Pelodiscus sinensis: one gene and its partner. The protein of the gene in region 1 binds, or shares a complex with, the protein of each later gene. Links are inferred from orthologs where the notes say so. Each region holds a gene or a part of one and is shown in the gene's direction. Other genes may lie near its edges.

Evidence for each region.
Region 2: the proteins of PAWR (region 1) and SPSB1 are in contact, whole or in part, in a crystal structure (PDB 2JK9), measured with the Homo sapiens proteins. The link is inferred for Pelodiscus sinensis from reciprocal best matches to the Homo sapiens genes PAWR and SPSB1. Residues at the interface, in NP_001341661.1 of Homo sapiens: Glu68, Leu69, Asn70, Asn71, Asn72, Leu73, Pro74; in NP_079382.2 of Homo sapiens: Arg77, His78, Pro79, Val80, Ala81, Gln82, Gly110, Thr111, Tyr129, Val216, Trp217, Gly218.

The regions. Positions count from the first base shown.
Region 1 is NC_134711.1:70,680,963-70,692,102, reverse strand, and holds the start of PAWR (PRKC apoptosis WT1 regulator protein), read left to right. Parts: upstream 1-5,692; 5' UTR 5,693-5,818; intron 5,819-5,926; exon of another isoform or gene 5,927-6,256; intron 6,257-6,625; 5' UTR 6,626-6,664; coding exon 6,665-7,150; intron 7,151-11,140. UniProt on the Homo sapiens protein: Pro-apoptotic protein capable of selectively inducing apoptosis in cancer cells, sensitizing the cells to diverse apoptotic stimuli and causing regression of tumors in animal models.
Region 2 is NC_134733.1:13,306,352-13,317,543, reverse strand, and holds the start of SPSB1 (SPRY domain-containing SOCS box protein 1), read left to right. Parts: upstream 1-5,899; 5' UTR 5,900-6,288; intron 6,289-8,648; exon of another isoform or gene 8,649-9,446; intron 9,447-11,192. UniProt on the Homo sapiens protein: Substrate recognition component of a SCF-like ECS (Elongin BC-CUL2/5-SOCS-box protein) E3 ubiquitin-protein ligase complex which mediates the ubiquitination and subsequent proteasomal degradation of target proteins.

The DNA.
Region 1 (11,140 bases):
ATGAACATTAGCAAGAGGAGCCTGAGATAGAGAAAGAGAAGTAGCAGTGTGGAGGCAGGGCAAGGGTAGGATTTTAGCTGAGGTGTGGAGGCAGCAGCATGAATGGGTGAGGCAATACTGAGATTTTGTGGGAGGATGAGGTGCAGTGTGGGGGTATTTTACAAGGATGGAGATAGTAGCAAGGGGAAGGATGGGGAAGAAGAATTGATACAGTGGGTTTGAATTTCATGGGCAAGGACTGAAGGAGGAAGTATTTCACTAGGGAGATTGATGAAATTTCATCAAGTGGTGATGATCTGAGGCAAGGTTGTTACTAGATGTGGCCTGAGATGAGATAGTGACGGTGACTTACTGGCAGTAGGAGAATGCTCAGACAGTGGGCATCTTGGGGCTACATCTAGACTGTATATCTCTGTTGACAGAGGGATGCAAATCAAACATGTTGAAATTGCTAATGAAACTGGGATTTAAATATCCCACACCTCATTAGCATAAACATGGCTGCCGCTTTTTTTCGAAATTGAGTTTTTTTTCAACCTCCTGCCCAGGCAGTCTAGATGTGGATCTGTCGAAAATAAAGCCTTTTTTGACAGATCCTGTATTCCTCAAAAAATGAGGTTTACAGGATCTGTCGAAAAAGGCTTTATTTTCCACTGATCTGCGTCTAGACTGCCTTTTTTTAAAAAAAAAAACCCCATGTAGAAAAAAAGTGGTGGCCATGTTTATCCTAATGAGGCATGGGATATTTAAATCCCAGCTTCATTAGCAATTTCGATGTGCCTAATCTACATCTCTCTGTCGACAGAGGTGTAGTCTAGACACACCATGGAGTGGTCTGATGTAATGGACTTGAGGAGTACTCAGCAAAGGAAATGTGAAGTGGTGGGAAGGTAGATTCAGTGTGATGGGTTTGAAGTGATTTCACTGTCGATTGTTATGTAGGGTGTTTCATAGGGGTAGTGTGGAAACAAGCTGTACTGGTTATACCTGGGGGAGGAACACAGAGAACATCAGCAGGAGGATTTTCAAAGGGGAAGAGGCAGCAGGGAAGGAAGATAGTAGGATAATTTAATTAGGTGAAGTGAGGCTGAGGAGAAGTGGCAGGGAGATGAACCCTGAGAGAGTGGGTATTTCATAGGAGGGTTAGGTAAGGTGGGTGGAGTGGACCATGGAAATAAAGTAGAACAGTGATAGTAAATGTGTGTGACAGAGGTGGTGGTAATGGTGGGGTTAGCAAAAGTTTCCTAAAGGTGATAGGGTACAGGAAGGGTACATCGTAGTGGGAAAGATTTGTGGGAGCAATGAGGATTTTCACTGGGTTTGGGAAGTTGTGCGTAGCAGACAAATAGAGATATGCCATGAAGTTGAATATAGGGCCTTGCTTAATTAGGATAATAAAGTAAATTTCTTTAATATTACTATTTTATCCTTGAAATCTGCCTCATTACATAAGTCTATGTTAAAAGCTACACGTGTGTGTAATTTTGGGGGATCAGGAAATTTGTTTGGGCTGCTAGGACACAGAAACATTAGACAACTTATGTACTTTTAAAATAGAAAGATGCTTAATTTCACACCATACATACTAAATTTTCCCAACTTTCAAAAAAGCACACTGGATTTAACAATGATAGAAATGTAGCCATGTTAGTCTGGGGTAGCTGAAGCAAAATGCAAGACAATGTAGCACTTTAAAGACTAACAAGATGGTTTATTAGATGATGAGCTTTCGTGGGCCAGACCCACTTCCTCAGATCAAATAGTGGAAGAAAATAGTCACAACCATATATACCAAAGGATACAATTAAAAATAATGAACACATATGAAAAGGACAAATCACATTTCAGAACAGGAGTGGGATGCGGGGGGGGGGGGGGGGGGGGGGAGGAAGGAAGGTAAGTGTCTGTGAATTGATATTAGAGGTGGGGAGAATGGGATGTTTGTGAGTTAATGGTATTAGAGGTGATAATTGGGGAAGCTATCTTGGTAATGGGTAAGATAGCTTGAGTGTTTGTTCATTCCTTTTTGGAGAGTGTCGAATTTTAACATGAATGACAGTTCAGAGGATTCCCTTTCAAGTGCAGATGTAAAAGGTCTTTGTAGCAGAATGCAGGTGGTTAAGTCATTGAGAGAGTGTCCTTTCTGGTTAAAATGGCAAGAAACTGTTTTTTCTTTGTGATCTTGTCTGATATCTGTTTTGTGGGCATTAATTCTTTGGCGAAGTGTCTGAGATGTTTGTCCAATGTACATAGCAGACGGACACTTTCAGCACATGATAGCATAGATTATATTTCTGGATGCGCAGGAATATGTGTTCTTGATCTTATAATTCACTTGGTTAGGTCCAATAATGGTTGCACTTGAAAGGGAATCCTCTGAACTGTCATTCATGTTAAAATTCGACACTCTCCAAAAAGGAATGAACAAACACTCAAGCTATCTTACCCATTACCAAGATAGCTTCCCCAATTATCACCTCTAATACCATTAACTCACAAACATCCCACTCTCCCCACCTCTAATATCATCAATTCACAGACACTTACCTTCCTTCCTCCCCCCCCTCCCCCGCATCTCCCTCCTGTTCTGCAATGTGATTTGTCCTTTTCATATTTGTTCATTTTTTTTAATTGTATCCTTTGGTATATATGGTTGTGACTATTTTCTTCCACTATTTGATCTGAGGAAGTGGGTCTGGCCCACGAAAGCTCATCATCTAATAAACCATCTTGTTAGTCTTTAAAGTGCTACATTGTCCTGCATTGTGTTTAACAATACATATTTAATTATAACATGAGTGTTTATTGTTTTTTGAAGTCATTCTTCCGCTCTCCTCTGCACTGGTTAGGCACTGGTTGGAGTATTGTGTCCATTTCAAGAAAGATGTGGAGAAATTGGAGAGGAGCAAGAGGAGAACAACAAGAATGATTAAAGGTCTAGAGAACACGACCTATGAAGGAAGGCTGAAAGAATTGGGTTTGTTCAATTTAGAAAAGAGAAGATTGAGGGGGGGACAAGATAGCAGTTTTCAGGTATCTAAAAGGGTGTAATAAGGAAGAGGGAGAAAACTTCTTCATCTTGGCCTCTGAGGATAGAACAAGAAGCAATGGGCTTAAACTGCAGCAAGGGAGGTTTAGGTTGGATATTAGGAAAAAGTTCCTGTCCGGGTGGTCAAACCCTGGAATAAATTGCCCAGGGAGGTTGTGGAATCTCCCATCTCTGGAGATATTTAAGAGTAGGTTAGATAAATGTCTATCAGGGATTGTATAGACAGTACGTGGTCCTGCCATGAGGGAAGGGGACTGGATTCGATGACCTCTCGAGGTCCCTTCCAGTCCTAGTATTCTATGATTCACAAGGAAAGTCAAAATCAGCCTTGCAAATCCTTAACTGAGGAGAAGAAACTCTTACTGAGTATAATTATGTAAAATCCACATTTTAGGTCTTAGGAGCCTCTGCCTACACACCATTTTAAACTTAACTATTAAAAGAGCATTTCTAGGCCTTGAAAATAAATGCTTAAGATTTTAGAAGGGAAGGGTTGCTCTGAAAATGTTTTCCTACTTAGTAAGTTTCTCCCAATTGTGGCTGAGGAAAACATGCAGTGTGATACTTAAAACTATTTAGGACTTTATCCCTGAACGCTCACCAGCACAGACACCCTTATTAAGATGCAAACATCTGATAGTCAGCATTTTTGCATTGGGCACTAAAACCAACCTCACCACAAAACTTCTGTTAATAAATAACAGACTGCGAGGGTCACAGAGACTTTTTTGGCATTTAAAAAAATCCAACATTTTTTGAGAAGCAAAAACATCCAACAGTGGCTGATGCAGCTACAGCCCAGAAAGGGTAGAAAATAGTGTATGCCATAAACTACAAAGAACACTTTGAGAGGTCTGTTTTTAGAAATTCTGGGGGGTTTGGGCAATTGGAGAATTGGTATTGGGTTGGATGCATCTTTCTCTTTGTGTACTGTAAGGAGGCGTGTTACACAGTGGAAGCAATATCTGCCACATAAATAAAGAACTCAACTGAGAGAGTGTTAATTTTACTGTTTTTAAATTTCAATCACTTTCAAAATTGATAGCTCTATGAACTTTGGAATAATCCCCTTTCCAAACAAAACAAAACCTCAGATCAAAAAAACCTAATCCTGAGAACTATCAACTTTTTTGAGAGGATTTAAACAAAATTATTTTTTAATGAAAATGTCATTGGTAAATGGTAATTAGAAAAATCTCAAACTATAGTACATATATATTGTTGAGTGCATACAATGATAAATAATGTCCGTGCTGGTGCAGAATTAACTCTTCTGTAGTTACTATCCAGCTTATTAAAACTTTTCCAAATTATACCAGAGGATTAAATAGTATGATTTTAACTATTGCTTTGCTGTGAAAAATGTAACAGGAATCATTCTAGTCTGAGAAGTGAGAACTTTTTTCCTCACATATTCCCTTCAAAAATACTATCACTGAGTGTGAAAGTTAGAAATGAATTAAATGACCAGAGGGCCATTGACTGATGGGCAGGTGACAGAGTGCTAACACTGGAGAGGAGAGCAGGGAATAGATGTACATGAGGTTAAAGTTGAACCATGGTCTACATCTATTATTTATATTGTAGGAATGCCTAGAGGCTCAAGTCAGGGTCTAGGGCTCTATTGTGCTAAATACACAGTGAACCTCCACTCTCCAAAAGTTTCCATTTTAAAATCCATTAAGAGTTTTATTAACCAGAAGAACAAATTAGCAATGGAATCTGAACAAGATAGGAAAGAGATGGATGACAACTTCCTCAGTCCCAGGTAACAGTATCTGGATTTCTTTTGTTAGGCACACAAACTTGTATATCATGCTCCCACATTCCCCAGTCCCATCGTTCCTATATGCCTGCACCTGCTAAAATAAGTTGGTTAGGTCCAATAATGGTATCAGCCGAGTGAATATGTGGACCTAACCTAGTGAGTTATAAGATCAAGAACACATATTCCTGCGCATCCAGAAATATAATTTATGCTATCATGTGCCGAAAGTGTCCCTCTGCTATGTACATTGGACAAACGTCTCAGACACTTCGCCAAAGGATTAATGCCCACAAAACATATATTAGACAGGATCACAAAGAAAAAACAGTTTCTTGCCATTTCAACCAGCAAGGACATTGTCTCAATGACTTGATTACCTGCATCCTGCTTCAAAGGCCTTTTAAAACTGCACTTGAAAGGGAATCCTCTGAACTATCATTCATGCTTAAATTTGATACTTTACACTAAAGTTTGAATAAAGACTCTAATTATCTTACCCATTACAAAGACAGCTTCCCCAATTATCACCTCTAATACCATTAGCTCACAGACATTTACCTCTCTCCCCTTCCCCCTTCTGTTCTGAAATTTGATTTGTCCTTTTCATATGTGTTCTTTTTTTTAAATTGTATCCTTTGGCATACATGTTTGTGACAATTTTCTTCCACTATTTGATCTGAGGAAGTGGGTCTGGGTCCACAAAAGCTCATCACCTATTAAACCATCTTGTTAGTCTTTAAAGTGCTACATAGTCCTGTGTTTTGTTTCAGCTACACCAGACTAACAAAGCTACATTTCTACCACAAGTTCATATTGTACAAGGTGCTGTGCACAGGCGCTTGATACCTTCCCATCTGCGTTTTTCAGGGCTCCTGGCTGAGGGAAGAGCTTGGGAGGGGCTGAGAGAGGCTAGTCTCGGAGCTGTGCGGATGGTTAGCCAAACCCTCGAGTGGGTGGCACTCGCCTTGTTTCAAGAACCACGGTGCCTGATCTCCGGCTAGGTGAGAACTGTGCATCTCAGCGGGGGGGGGGGAGCGGGCTCTAGTTACTGCAAGGCACAGCGGGCTCCTCACGCTCCCTCGCCCAGCGCAGCGGCCGGAGCGCTCGATGCTTACGGCTCGAACTGGCCCCGCAGAGAATCCGGGCCCCCCACGTGCGCGCTGCCTGGCCGGACACCTGTGGCTGGGCCGGGCGCTGCGGGCAGGACAGACGCCGCGCTCCCAGGCACGGGCAGGGCGGGTCCTCCCCCCGCCTCCCTCGCACCCCATTGTTAAAGCGAGATCTCGGCCGCTTCCGTCCGCGCTTCGGCTGCGCTCGCCGCCGCCCGGCAAAGTCCGGAGCGGCTCAGCTCCTTCCGGGAGTGGGGCAGCGCCAGCAGCCGCGACTCACCTGAAGCCGGGGCGGGCAGCGTCGCGGGTCCTTTTCTGCGTAGCGGCGAGGTAGGAGCGCGGCCCCGAGCCGGGGGGTTGCGGGGCCGGGGCTGCCCCCCTGCAGCGGGGACTAGCCCAGCGCTATCCCCGGGGCGCTCGCAGCTCTGGCATGCGGAGAGGGGTGACGTGCAGGGGGCGCTTCCCCCGGGGGATTGTTGGCGGGGCTGTGGGCTGGTTGCGGGGGGTGCGGTGTGAGCCCTGGCGGGAACCGAACGGGGCTGTCCTGGGAAGGGGGTGGGGGTCGCTGGGGTCCAGAGGGGATCCCCGCGGGGGGGTGAGTGGGATGTTCGGGGGGGGGCGCTCGTGGAGCGGCGCTGGCCCGGGGCGCTGCGGGCTGGCTCCCTGGGGGCGGGGCTGACTCCCTGGTGCTCTCCGCAGGCGGTGGTGCCCGGGCCGCCCCTCTGCCCCGCTGGGAACATGGCGTCCGGCGGCTACCGGAGCAGCGGGGCCAGCACCACGGACTTTCTGGAGGAGTGGAAAGCCAAGCGGGAGAAGATGCGGGCGAAGCAGGCGCCGCCAGTGGCCGGGGCAGAGGGCAAAGCGCCCGGGGGCGCCGCCTCCGCTACCGAGCTCAACAGCAGCCTGCACCCCGCCCCCGGCCCGGCCGCCCCGCCGCACCCCCCGGAGCGGGCCGCCCCCTCCCCCAGCGGGGGCCTGAACTGCGTCCCCCTCCCGGCCAGAGCCGGCTCCAAGGAGCCCCCGGTCCCAGCCGGGAGCAGAGCGGCGGAGCCTGCAGGGAAGCCCCCCGCCGCGCCCGGCTCCCCGGAGGAGGAGAAGGCGGCGGCGGCGGCCAAGGGGAAAAGCTCCGGTCCCAGCTCCAGGAAGGGGAAGGGGCAGATCGAGAAGAGGAAGCTGCGGGAGAAGAGGCGCTCCACAGGTGTGGTGAACATCCCCGCCGCCGAGGTGAGCCCCGCGCCGCTGCCCGGGCTAGGGGTGCTGGGAGCGCTAGTGCGAGCGGCTGAGACGCTGCACCTGAGTCGTGAGCGCCGCTGCCCGCCGGTCCCGCCCCCGCCCGGGAGCAACTGGTGTTGCTTCCAGTTCCTTGCCGCCAGGGAGGCTTGTGCCCTCCTGCGCGGGGTGAGGTGCGGGGATTAAACTGCCTAGCGCGGGAGCGCTGCTGTTTCGCTTCGTCCCTCATGTCTGCACCTCTCTTGGGACAATAGGCCTGACAGTGGCGAAGCTACGGGGTTGAGGTTGGGAAGAGTTTGGCGGGATTTGGATGTACTGGGCCAGGGATGTCCTCTCATTACCCCCACCCCTATTTAAACGCCGAGTTTACCGACAAGAGTCCTCCGGCTCCAAACACTTTGGGGTGGGCTGGGTCTGAGTCCAATGTTGTGATGCTTGTATGGCTGCAGGCTTGGGCTTGGGCTTCTAGTCAGGAAGGATTAGTGAACATTGACAGGAACAGCAATGAATATATCATTGAGCACTTCTTAAAACAAGAACCGTACTTCTTAATTTAGTGTGCCTTGGCTGAAACTAGGACGTGAAACAGTGTGTGTGCCTTAGAGGAGTTGCAAAGTATTCTGTAATATAAAATACCCTCCTAATTTTTGTCTGGTTTCTCACGACTCTGTGGCGATCTTTTATCAAAGGTAATTTCAATGATTATTTTCTGTTGCTTTTGTCATATCATTACTTTCGAATTTCATTAATAAATATGATTAAACTTAACACATAAGTTTGTGTTAGTCACTTTGCTGTGTTCTGAACAACGAAGAAAGGAAATCATGGTATTAAGCTCTGGATAAATATTCAGGTGTAAATACACTTCTTAATCTAAAACAATTTCCTGTATTTGGAAAAAATGCAGTGGTTTGAAGTGCATTTTTTTGGAGCAGAGATGAATATTTTTATCAGCCAACACAACTGTTCTTTGTGGTTTGCTACTAGCATGAAAATCTGGCATTCATTTAAAAAAACTCTTAAAGGAATTCAGAAGCATGATAACAAAACCATTTGCTTTTTTTTTTTTTATGAAGCTAGAGGAGACTGAAAACAAAGTTGAATTGCATTCTTCAGTTTTATATTGATGATAAAGGGCAACACTATTTTAGATAACATGTATATCACTAAATATTTCTCCTCTACTAGGGGTGCCTGCATGGAGGGAGGGGGAGAAACAATCTTTTGTGTCTTGTGCAGTAGAAGATGAAATCCTGTTTTCCTCTCCTGAAGTCATAATCCTTTCTTTGTGATGACATATTAACTTGTAAAACCAGAAGTATTGTCTGGTGAGGAATAAGCAGCAGGAACAAATGAAGTCTTAAATAAAAACTCTGTTTTAGGGCTCACTCCCACAACTTTGACTTAAGTGATTAGCCTTGTTTCTTGTATAGCCTGCACTTTAAAGTGAAGGATTGCAGGACTGAATCCCAAGTACTCACACTCTTGAAAATGAGGAAACTCACACTTGAAAACTAGTAACTGTGGGCAAGAGCAGTGAGCCGGGCTGCTTGCACAAATCCGTTTAGGAGACAGGCCTGCTGCTAGCCGCTTCCAGGACACAGCAAAGTCTGTGGTGCCAGGAGAGGCAGGAAGCTGCTGTAGGGAAGCCCATGCTCCAATTCCCTGTCCCAGGCCTGAGTGCCCCCCAAACTCAGAGCCCCCTCCTACACACCAGGCCTCTCATCCAAAGCCCCAATTCAGAGCCAGCACTTAAGTCAAGACATAATTATGTTGAATCATGGGCATCAACAATTTTTTTTCAATTGGGTCATGAGAAAAAAGTTTAAAAGCCACTGATTGCCTGTGTGACAAATAACAGCACTACCACACCTATTTAAATGAAGTGCCACGTTTGCAAAGAAATAACTTTATCTAGTCCGTTCCTTGTGCCCAAATATAGTTGCTCCCACCCCATCTGCCTTTCTCTAGAACCTGAATCTTCTGCTGCTTGCTTCCACTCCCTTAAGCTTGGAGAAGCAATGGCTTAGAGCTTCCTCTGCTACTTCTGTTGGGCTTATTTCTCCTGTCAGGAACAACTAACATAGCCTGCTTCTTTATCTTCTACTAATAAAGGATTGAGGCCACTGTGCTTGTCCTCTACTCAACAGAGACCATCAGCTCCAGTTTTCCCATTTGGCCCTCAATATCTGCTTAACTTAGGGGATCGGGTTTTTTTCTATTGCTGTCTCCTTACAAATAACTTTGCAAAATCTGTCACTGTGTGTCAGCACTCCTAGGAATAACTTAATGACATTTTTGCCATTGTATATGTTTTGTCTTAAAACTTCGAATAACTCCATAGCTAGTAAGTGTCTTTGTTTTGTTTTGTTTTTTAATTAAATACAGTTTGACCAAGAAACTGATTTCTTTTTAATATCTATGTTATAACAAACATTTCATGTAGCTACCACCATTAATATAAAGTACTTAACCTGCAGTGCAGATATGAGGGAGTGTGTTTGGTTTTTTTTTATTTTTGCAAGTTCTGGCTTGTAGGCAGAATTCATTTGTGATGAACATCTCGACAGGCAAACATTTACATACAACTGACTTTTTTTTGTGATCAAGCCAACTTCTTGAAAGTCTTCCATTAACATTTTAAAATAGGAGTATATGTAGCACTAAGAATTCATTAGTTCAAGATCAGAGGGAGCCATCTTATTCTTCATGTGTATATCACAAGCCATTACACTTCAGCCAGATTTTGCTATATAAATTCCAGTGATGTTACTTAGACCCAAGCATTTCAGTTTTCCAAAGACTTCGGACATGTCTATACCACATCTGGAAGTGAGCACTCTAGTGTGGTTCTTCAAACCTGTGCTAGCAGGTCTCACGATATCTTGCTAAAAATAGTTGTGTAGAAGTTGTAGGATTGAGCTCTGAGGCCTGGGGTATCTGAACTTGATAAGTCTGTCGAGGGTCGGGGTGTGGGGAGAACTAGCTTCGAGATGCACAGTAGGCATGCCCATGGGTGTGTCTAAACTACATGGCTCCGTCGATGGAGCCATGTAGATTAGACAGATAGGCAAAGGCAAATGAAGCCGCGATTTAAATGATCGCGGCTTCATTTAAATTTACATGGCTGCCGCGCTGAGCCGACAAACAGCTGATCAGCTGTTTGTCGGCTCAGCGCGCTAGTCTGGATGCTCCCCTGCCGACATCAAAGCCCTTTGTCGGCAGCCCCGGTAAACCTCATCCCACGAGGAATAACGGGGCTGCCGACAAAGGGCTTTGATGTCGGCAGGGGAGCGTCCAGACTAGCGCGCTGAGCCGACAAACAGCTAATCAGCTGTTTGCCGGCTCAGCGCGGCAGCCATGTAAATTTAAATGAAGCCGCGATCATTTAAATCGCGGCTTCATTTGCCTTTGCCTATCTGTCTAATCTACATGGCTCCATCGACGGAGCCATGTAGTTTAGACACACCCCTAAGTTGTGACAAAGCACAGGAAAGAATGAAATGCCACAGTGCTTGAAGCTCCTGCAATGGCAGGGAATTGATTATGTAAGATGCACAGATCCTAGTAGGTGATCCACTTCCCATGCTGCAGATAGAGGTAAAAACTCCTCAAGGTTCGTTAAGTTAACTGGAAAGCAAAATTCCTTCTTCACCAGATTTGGGGTCATCAGTTTGACCCTGAACAAGACACTTTAGCCAGGCATGTAAGAGAGAAAATTTGCTGTATCATCTCAGCGCGCTGATCCACCCTATCCATTATCAGAGGGGCAGCCGTGTTAGTCTGAATCTGCATAGAAGTCCTGTGGCACCTTATAGACTAACAGATTTATTGGAGCATAAGCTTTCATGGGCAAAGACCCACTTCCTCAGATGCATGTAGTGGAAATTCCAGAGGCAGGTATAATATACAGGCACATGAAAAGAAGGGAATACCAATCAAGAGGAAGGCAAGGGATAACAAGGTCAATTCAATCAGGGAGGA
Region 2 (11,192 bases), on another chromosome or scaffold:
TAGGGGACTGGGGTGGAGGAGAGGGTGTGGGGTCTGAGATGGAGTTTGGGTAAAGGAGTTTGTGATCTGGGGAAGGGGTTTGGGGGAGGGGTATAAAAGGGGGTACAGGGTCTGGGAGGGAGATGTGACCTGGGGGAGGAGGGGAGGGAGGGAAGGTGAAGAGGGTTTGGAGTTGGGGCAGGAAGAGCTGGTGATCTGAGAATGAAGGGAGGGAGGGGCTGGGGTGCCACAGGTAGGTTGTGGCTGGGAGGCACTTACCAAAGCAGCTCTTGGCCAGCAGCCTTGCAGGACCCTGAGGCAGGCTCCCTGCATGGCGCAACCCCAGGCTGCTCAAATAGTTGGCTGCTCCCTGTGGCTCTCTGCTTTGAGTGCTGGGGGGGAGGGCCAGTTTCCACAAAGCCTTCCCCTCCCCTTGGTGCCTGGAGCTGAGTGTCACAGGAAGCAGCCACCTGCTTAAAACAGCCCGGGGCTGCTCTGCAGTGGCTGGCTGTTCTGTGCCTGAGCGCCCTGGTGGGAGATAAGGGAGGGAGCAGGCCTGTGGTCTGGATCCAGCAGCTTGGGTATGACCCATAGCAGACCTATGGGTCTGATGCCCCCTGAGCAAGAGCTTTTCAGTTCATCCAGGAGCCAGGTTCCCCTCTCTTGTGCTGTTGCCACAGCTGTACTTCCCCTGGCGCACAGCACACATGCAGTGAAGGGGGGATTTTCCCAACCCCTAGGGATAAACATCTGTAAATCCAGATGTTTGTAGGCTCTGTGAGTGACAGGGACTTGACACCTCAAGGAATGGGTGGGAGGTCCATGAAGATTTGATTTCTAGCTCAGTGCATCTCAACCCTTTTTTATAAAGTACCCCTTTAAAAAAATGATCAATATCCCCAGTATCTACAGTTTTCAGATGCGCACAATTTTTTTCTACCATTGCAACACATTTGTTTAAACAACCTAATCATAGCCAGGCGGGCGATGAAATTTTTGGATGTAAAAAGGACAAAAACAATAAAGCGCTATAAAACTTAAAACAAAAATTCAGTTTTCTCCAAATTTCAGTTGTATTGACGTATCCCCACTCCCCCCGACTTCTCTCAACTACCCCAGCCTAAGGGTACTCGTACCACTAGTTGAGAAACACTGCTCTAGGTCACCAGTGTGACCCTGGCCAGGAGGTAGTAACAGTTTTAACCACTTGATGGCTGGTGGGTGGCTTGACGAAAGGAGGTGGTAGGCACTTAGCAGATATTGTAGCAGTATCAGCAGAGTCCAATAGAAACCTGCTCAGGGGCACCTGTGGGACCTCTGCATCAGGTTTGCAGGGAAACTTGCACTGCAACTGATCCTGCTGTGCCTATTCCGTGAGCCAACCAAAGACCTCAGTCCTGGTCCAACACCCTTCAGAAAGATGACATTTCAAAAACAAATTAAACAGCACCCAAGGAAGACACAACAACAGCTTTTTGAGTTACAAGGTCATTTCAGCCTATGTTTACCTCCTGTAGGCTATTCATTACACGAAGACCCCTTGACATTGGCCTGAAAAACAGCCCTAAAGTTGGCATAATATGTAATTTAGTGGCATCTACACAGCCAGACTGGTGTACAGAAGCCTCAGGGTAAATGAAAACTAGAGTGGTCTTGATCAGTGCTCCTCATCAGCTGTGTGCTTGGGTGGTCACCCAGGAGGGATACAAATGCCGCCCAGCTGACTAGCAGAGTGCACGTAGCTGCCCACAGCTGGCAGCATGTGTGTCTATCGCTGGTACACATTAACACATGCCTCAATGCACATAAAATTTATTTTACACACAGATGGGAAAAAATTGAAGCGATCATTGGTCTTGGTGTTTCTAAGCACCAAAATAAAGATAGTCACAGCCCTGTCACAATGTTCTGAGCAGAAATTTCTGCATGGAGTTGTGTTATGCACACGGGGCAGGAAAAGAGACACACGAGACTTTAAGAGCTGCAAAGAATTGATTGACAGACAAAGAAAGATTTACCCAGTGGGCTGTTACTGCACTCCTGGCTGAACTTAGAGCTATTTACACGGGCAAAATTTTGCACTTCCTATTCATTCCTTTTCCAGGCAAAACTCCCACTGATTTCTGCTGCTTGTGGATATGTGGGGCTTGAGCCGCCACCTGTTCAAATAAAAAGTATAGTGGGGAAAAGTGTGCATGTAGGATTTTCAAAATGGTTCAATGTTGTCATTAAAATGAATGGAAAACTCCTATTGACTTAAATGCCACCCTGGCTATATATCTTTCATATTTGTTTCTCCCTTTTCTTTCCACCAGTATAGTGTGTTAAAGGATTTTTGTGCTTTATTTTTAAATTCCCAGGGGGTACTAGGGAATTTTTAGCTACTAGACAGCTAAAATAACTGTCTTAATGTCCTGTAAATCCAGGGCTGGCCTTACCATGAGGCGAACTGAGGCTGCTGCCTGACTGAGAGTGGTCACCTCTAGTTCACACTTTTTGAACAAGGTATTTTAAGTTGTTAGGTCTCCTTTGTTGGGGTCAGTAGCAGAGCAGTGCCATGAGAGGAGCAGAACAGGAAGAAGGCAGAATTGAGACCTTTCAAAGTTTTGGCCCAAGCGAGGTGGCATGGGGGCATCATTTGAGCTCCCCGCCTCAGGTGCCAAAATGTGGGGCTGGCCCTGTGTAAATCATATGTACTATACAGTAATTCCTCATTTAACACGTGCCCGCTTAACACGTTTTCGCGATAGCATGATTTTTTTTAGGGAATGTCTTTTGAATTACACGACCGTCCCTGGAATAACATGGTTTCCTCAGCCAGCCCATTGCCAGTGGCTGCGCGGAGCTTCCCCTGCCTCCCTACAAAGCGGCAGAGGGTTCTCCACTCGCCGTGCCGTTCCCCGGCAACCCCCAGTCACTGGACGCAGTGCGGGTCCCAGCAGACCCGTCACAGGGGCATACTCCCAACCCAATCCCCCTCTCCTCTACTCCCCTTCCCTTCCCCAGAGCCAAACACCTCCCCTCCCTGCTGTAACCCAGTCTCCTTTCTCCCCCAACCTTATGTCCCGGTCCCAACAGACACCACCACTTGAAACGCAACTCCCACCTTTTCCATTATTTTCAATGGGAAAATTGACCCTGCATAACACGTTTTCACTTAACATGATCATTTTCTGAAACATATCTATAGTGTTAAATGAGGAATTACTGTACTCCTAACCTCACCTAGTTATCATGCAGTAAAAGCTATAGTGGCTTGTCGCCACTAATATTTTATAGTGGTATAGTTAAAGTATGCTAGTTATCCCATGGTGAAAACTCACCTTTTTTGCAGTAAAATGTTGTACATGGAAATGGAAAGGAATACCCTTACTTGCTTCTGAACTTGAGCCATCGCTAAAAAGAGCACAGCAACCAATGTTCCCTGTAAGCTGCGTACTTGTGCAGCCACTCAGGAGAAATTCAAATGCTGCCCAGCTGATTAGCAGAGCTCCCACATCTAAGTGTTGTGTTGCTATTGGTGGTGCACATTCGCACATGCCTCGGCGTACATAAAAATGTATTCCGCACACGAATGGAGAAAATCTGCACATGAATGGAAAAGATTAAAGGGAACATTGACAACAATGCTAACAGGAAAGAAAATTTTCTAAGTAAAACTGCATTAAGGTAGACAGAACAAGAACACAATTACTCAACTTGAGTTGTGGAACTCCATTTATCTGACGAAGTTGGTTGTGTCCACAAAACCTCACGATACCATCTACATTTTTTGTTAGTCTCTAAGGTTCTGTAACACTTTTTGTTGTTTTTTTTAAGTTCCGGTTACAAACTGACACGGCTACCCCTCTGTAACACAACTTGAGTGTGATTCTCAGTTAAATGAAGGATCTGCATAGATGAGAATCAGACCCTTTCAATGTAGAAAGCCATGAGGACTAACAGTTTTTCTTAGGAAAAATATCATGGGATTTTTAATGACTGCAGTGGTCAGGACCTCATTTGACTGTCTCAACTTAAAACTACCACCTTCAGCACCATAATGGGCAATGTTCCCTCTACGAGTTTCCATTTATGTGCAGAATAAATATTGTTATGTACACCAAGGCATGCACAGATGTGCACCACTAATAGAAAATGCATGCTGCGGCTGTGGTCAGCTGTGGGCACTCTGCCAGTCAGCTGGGTGGCACCTGATTTTCTCCTGGGCAGCTGCCCAAGTGCTCAACTTACAGGGAACACTGATGATGAGGCACTAGTTCAATACTGACTCGGATGGTGGAGTGTCACTTGCTGAATCATTTATACATCACCTACATGGCCATTGACTATGTCCTGTTCAATACTGATCAAGTTCAAGTTTGCTTAGCTAATGAGAACTCATAAGTTCACAACCCTAAGACTTTTTGCTTGGGAACACTGAAAATGTGCTTCTTAAAATGAGACCATCAAATCAAATTTGGCCCACAATTTACTTTTTTTTTGCAGATCCTAAAACCAATACAATTGTTTTCTTGACCTATTTCTTAATTAAATAAGTTAAAAAAAAATAAATGTTCCACTTAAGTGTTTGCGACAACTAGACAGGGAACAAGCAAAAGTGGAACTTTTTGCGGGTCCACAACTAAAAAGAAAGCATATAAATAGTAGAAAAATGCTTTGAACATTAATAACCCACGGTGTTATTTGTAACAAAGGTACAGAATTAGATGAGTTGATTTTTACCTCACCAATGCTGACAATTCTCCTAATCATATTTGGTATTTTTCTCAAAATCCCAACTCCTGTAATCATGGGCGTAGGTGAAGAGCTTTTTTTTAAAAAAAATGCCTTCATGGCTAGATTGAAAAGCTTGAAAACATATCCTGAGTGTACCCTAAAGTGTCAATAATAATAATTTTAATAAACCAATAAAAATAACTGATTGTGTATTAGTTTTAAAATCTTACAATTTGTAAGCCATTTTTCTGATTTTATGGGGCCTGACTCAAGGCGTCTGAATGCTTGGGTGTATGCAATGCATGTAGCTCAACTTCTGCCACTACAAATATCCTAAAGAAATTAGTGGAAGAAGGGCAGCTTTGAACCTAGGACCTCAGGGGCTGTGCAAAGGAACCTCTACAGCTTGAGCTATAAATTCCGGTGGTTTTTAGCTGAGTCAGTGGTATTCACTCATTCTTATCTCTTGCAGCACCTGGTCTAAGTGCCACTACGTGGGACAGTGACCCACACCCACTAGGCAGGTGGGTTACATAAGGGTTCGCAGGATCTAGGGCTTCGGGTTGCAAGCCCTTCAATATCTGTTTTAAGGCACCTACTACAATGGCCTTTGGACACCATCACAAGACAGTAATCATCTGGTCTTCCTTATTCTTACGAGCCTCCTACCCTGTGCGGCTGCTTGCCAGAGATTAAAATGCAGCTTCATCCGGTTGGCTGAGCCCTACAGGTAGGTTTTGTGCTTCTACTAGCAGTGCACATTCCCACACGCCTGCCGGCACATACAAAATTATTCTGCACATGGATGTCAGGGATTGAAGGGAACACTGCTTCCTAGGACTCGCTCCTAACCCCCAATTCATAAAAGCATGGCAACGTAGAGCTGGGGGAAGGGCCTTTGAGACCATGCATTGAGGCAGGAGCAAGGAAACCCTCCCAGACCACGCCTGGCAGCTGTGGGTGCAACTCGTGCTTCCAAGCCTCCACTGAATGGGGATTCCCGCCTTGGCCTCCTCCAGCACTGAACGACCCTTCCTCCGAATCAAAGGGTTCCCCCCCCGAAACGCCCCCTTCCCAGCTCAGCCGGGGGCTTTTCTCCCGTCTCTCCAGGGCTGCAGAAGCCGAGAGGAGCCGGGCAGCGGTTTCGCTGGTCCCGCCTCCCGCGAGAGGAGGGGCCGGGAGCGGGGAGGTGCCAAGCGGCAGCTGGGAGCTATTTGAGCCATGTGATGCGGCCGGCCCGAGCTCTTAGCGTCTGGCGCCCGGGAGGAGCCCGGCTCTAGCCGTGAGAGTGTCCGGGGGGGAGCCGCGCGCAGCGGCGGCGGGAGTTGCAGGGGGCCAAGGCGGCGGTGGGTGCTTGCAGCCGGATTGGCGTGCACGGGGTGGGGCTGGTTTCCTCCACCTCGCACCCCGCCGGCGCTTGGCATCCCAGCGGGCCTGCCTGGGGAGGAGACGCGCCCCGAAGAAACCTGCCCTCCCCAGCCCGCAACGCGCGCCCCGGAGGCCCGCGGAGCAGGGAGAGAGCCCGCCCTCGGCCGCAGCCATGGTCCGCTGCCGCGTCCCGGAGCGGTAGGGAGCAGCCCCGCTTGCATGGTAAGAAGCGGGGCACTGGAGGGGCAGGATGCGCCCGTCCCCACGTGCAAGGGAGGACGGTGCGGGGCTGGCAGAGACTCCCCCGGGCGCCTTTTCCCCGCAGCTCCGAGCGGGCACCGGGCTGTTGTGCAGGGCGCTGGCTGGTTGGCGCGGGAAAGGAGCAGGGGGGGGGGCGAGTGGGTTGTTTGCTCCCCCCGGGTGCTGGGGAGGGGCCTGCCCTGTTGCTGGGGGTTGGGGATAGGGTGTATCCGGAGGGGGAAGGTTGAATAACGTGGGCATCCTTCGGCAATCTCAGAAAGCCATTATCCGCCCGGGAAAGGCCTTTGTCCCGGCGCGCAAGGGGTTAATGGAAAGTTGGCGAGGGACCGGTCCTCTCTTCCCACCTTCTGTGGCTTCGGTTTCCTATGTAGCGGCCCACACTCGGGTAGAGACAAGCACAGCGCTTGTATGCCGGCCCCGTTCTCTTCTGCTCTCTTCCCCCCCCCAAACATCCAGCTTTCCTGGAGCTCCCACCTGATGGAGACTCTCCTGAGAGGCGGAATTCATTCGCCAGCTCCATCCTCTCCTACCGCCGACAGTAAATTCTTTTCTCCACCTCCCCACTCCTCCAACCCGGGCTGGATCTGTTGTGCAAACGCTGGCTGGTGAAAACTGAGTTATGAAGAGGATTTCTCTCTCCTCCCCGCCCTCCAAGTTCAGAACGAAGATATTTTTTCCCCTCCTTCTGGTAATTTGACCTAGTTCATGCACAATTAAAAAATCACCACAAAAATAATAAAACAAATAAAACTCAGATTATTCTCAACTTTATTCCCTTGTTTGTGCCATTTTAAAGGAGCTATTATAGCTGAACTGCTCTGTTGTAGCATCTTCCCCTCAGGGTAACAGTAAATGGTAGGGGCCTTTTCATATGAAAATGAGTTAAGATTATTGGCCACTGCCAATTGTCACGGAGCTGTCAGCTGGGGGCCTGAGCAAGTGCTTTATTTTCTTTATCAGAAAACGAAGTAATTGGCATGCAAGGAAATGTTTAACGGCCAGAGGTCATCTGTTATTGCTGTGTGTGAGAATTTGAAAAGTAAATCTCTGAACATTATCAGTGTTTGAACTAATTAAGGAAATAGGTTTATTTAACTGTATGCATTATGGTGCTGCTTTGAACGGTCTTTGGAATACACCCTGTAAGTCTCATTAACATGGTTATTTTTACTACATGGTCATCTTAGTGGTAGAACATGACTTCAGCCTGGTCCTAAATAGTTGGTGCCTGCTCTTTCCATGACTGGATACTCAAGTTCACAATATAGTCAATTTCTGACACCAGGTGAGTGAGGTAATATTCGACCAATTTCTATTGCTGAAAGTTCAAGACCGTTTTTGAGCTTCCATAGAGCTTTTTGTTGGCGCGTGTGTGAAGGATGTTTTGTAGTTTGTTTGGCATGTGCAGCTTCCAAACTGAGCCAGTGGCTAATCAACAACCTCACATGTTATGAGCGGCCCTAAGCTGGGTGTTCATTGTAAAAGATCTTCTGTCCTGTTCTTTTGGGTCAGACTTGGGGCTAGTTGACACTGGGAACTTGCATTGGCATAGTCGTGTGTCTCAGGGATATGAAAAATCCACACCCCTGAGAGACACACTTATACGGATTTCAGTATTTCCATGGACAAGGATGGGTCCACTCGAGAAGTTTGGGAGTGGGAGAGGTTTTCTATGATTGTTTCTAGTGCATTGTCTACACTTGAAAATAGTGTTTCAAGTGTAGACAAGCTCTATTTGATTTTAAATGGCCCCCCTCAACTTTCCTGAGTGGAAATGGATCTTTCCATTTCTGTCAGCAATGCAGGACAGAAACAGTGAGGGGAAGGGTTGATTTTTTTTTTTTAATTTGTTTATGCCTTATCCATTGTCAGACTGTGACCTACAGGTTCTGTAAGGAAAAAATACTGCTTAACTTGCAGCATTGCTGTAACCCTGTTGGTCCCAGACTATGAAAGACAAAGAGAGAGATACCACCTTTTTGTTGGCTTAACTTCTGCTGCTGACAGTGCAGCCCTGAAGAGCTCTGTGGAACTTGAAAGCTTGTGTCTTTATCTGTAACCAAGATAAGCTGTTCCAGTAAAGGAGACTGCCTCCCCCCCTTCTTTCTGTAACTTCTAAAGTCCTGGTCCTAGGAGTAGGGTTGTAAAATCCCAATTAATTAGCCCCGCAGGGCTGGAGCAGCCAGGGGGGCTGTTCCAGCACCCATTGGTTAACTAGTCAGCCTTTCACAACCTTTGAGCAGTCCATGTGCAGAATTCCCATTGCCTACAGTTGGTGTGTGTGTATGTGGGGGGGGGGGGGGGAGAATTGGGGTATGTGGCACTAGAGAATGAGATGGTGAATGACAATTGTTGATGGGAGAGGGGAGAGCCTATTCCTATGAAATGCACTGAGAATTAGATGGAGCCATTCCACTAATAATCTCAAATAAGGCTCTTTAAAGAAGGGATTTAAAAATGGATACATTGAAGACTTCCCTTCTCCCCCCATCTGAATGCCAAATACACTGAACTGCTTCATCAGTCTGCCTTGTCTTGTTTGGCTGTTGCAGCTTTATAAAGAACAAAGATGATTGATATATTAAGCTGTAACTTCCTCCTCCTCCTCCTGACCATTCGTGTCTGCTTGTTGTATTGCAGAGGCAGTAGGAGTGATAACTGTTTCACAGCAAAGTATTCCCTGGAGGGGGATTTGTACTGGTGCAGTTTGTCAATGACAGGTTTAGTGTGTTGTCTCTGTTTGTTCAGAGGTCACTGAAGTGCATTATAAAAGTGTTTGGGAGTTGGTTGGAGCCCATATGTTGGATGTGTCTAAATAGTGGCTTGGTTGTCCAGGAACTAATTTGCTGTAATGGCATATTATTCTTCTGAGGAGTCAGGTGGCTTCCCATGGATTGTGGACACACGCCGGAGTTGGTTTAACATTCAGGCTCCACCCCGCAGTGCTACACTTTAAAATGGGCTGGTCACGAATCAGTAAAGGCATTTGATTTGTCGTGGAGCCAGCTAGTACACCGGAATTCCTACGCCTACAGACTTGCTCATAAACTGCTGTCTGCTGTGGAGCTAACATTGCATATGCTGATATATTTTCAAGTTCGGGACTTGCATTAAATCCTGTAAGTTTATGTATTTTATTTTCATAGTTAAATGGTATTTAGAGGGCACTTTTATTTGTATTAGTGTGCGATTCATAGTTTGTAGGGGGGTAAAATTGTTTAGCATTTTTCCCCCAGAACTGGTCAGGAGGAAATCATGCATTCAACTTAATGTAACTATGACCAGAGGCCTTTAACTTTAAAGAATTGCAGTTTTGTCTCCATTTCTTCTATGTGGACTCTGGTCTAACACTACAGTGTATTGTACATCTTGTCACACTGTTCCACGGGTTTTTAAAAGTGAAATGAAGCATGGCTGAGAATAGTGTCCCTATTGTCTCGTAGCCGGGACACAGATGTGGGTTGCTTGTAAATGTACTGAAGATGTAGCTGATGGTTCAGATGCTGTGATGATGTTCATGCCCTATTGTAGCATTTGCAACAAAGATAATAGCAACAGCTACCAGTAGCTGCTGCTTTTGTGGGTGGTGGCAGGCAGAGGAAGGTAATACCTGCCTGTCGGGTTTCATGCGGTAGCCTGATATGGTGAGCAGGTCAAGTGCTGAGTGCTTACCTATGCTTGTCCTGCACCAGCTGCACTTACTTCAATGGCAAGTGGAATTTAATGAGGCTGGAAGCAGATTCTGACAACTTTAAACTAGGGATGTTTAACGGTTACTTGAATAATCAAGTAACCGCATACATTCTTATCGGTTAGTCGATTGTACTATAATGCCTGGAGTGGGGCTAGCAACCAGTGCGCTCTGATGTCATGAGGAGCCCCTTGCCACTCCTTGTTTCTTCCTTACCACTGTGTCTCTATAGAGGCAGCAGTGCGGGATGCCAGGTGGGAACTGGTCTGCAAGGGGAGCCAGTTTAAAAACCAGCTCCCCTCGCAGACCAGCTGCCTGTTGCCCTGGGCTACTGCCTCTGATACAGAGGTAACAGTGCAGGGTGGCAGCAGCCCGTGGCGGGGGGGTGGGGAGGGTGTGTCTGAGTTCCCGGATCTGGTGCGAGCCGAAACTGAGCCGGGCTTCCTGCCAGCCTAGCTCCTAATACACTTTAAATGCAGAGCTGCAGCAGGGGTAGGTTCCGGACTGGACTGAGCCAGTTGGCTGGCCAGCCTGCTGAAAAATTTACTGGGGGGGAGGGCTTTAGGCCGGGGGGCTGGACTCGACCTCCTGAGGTCTCTTCCAGCCCTGTGATTCTATGAATAGGTATAGTCTATAGCATTAACCTATAAGCTTTTGCTAATTGGTTAATTGACTACACTGTTACATCCCTACTTTAAACTGGGCTATTCCTCTCCCTTTGAAGCAGGGCTCAACTACTCCAATGTGAGAATGGGACAGATGTGGGGATGAGAAGAGCTCCCAGTCCTCAAGGGCTTGTTAGGTAAAGGAAATCTGTGTCCATGGGAGCACATCAGCGAGGCTTTTTCAGTATTGCTGTGCCAGTCCAAAGCCCTGCGGTAGGTGCTGCACCAGTACAGCTTGCACCTGGTGTTTTTAAGATGTAAGTCACAAGAGTGTAATATCTACAGGAGATGTTTGCGCTGGTATTGTCATAGGGCAATAGCACTACTAGAGCTCACTAACACCATGCAGTGCCATGATTAATTTGCAAAATTCCCGGGGCTCGACATCACTTGTGAAATGGGCACCCTGCTCTTCATGTGAACCAACTAATAATGGGAGAGTTATTTAATCTCTCGCGCTAATGGCTCCTGTAGATTGCCAGGGCAGGTATAATTAGACGCCAGTTGCA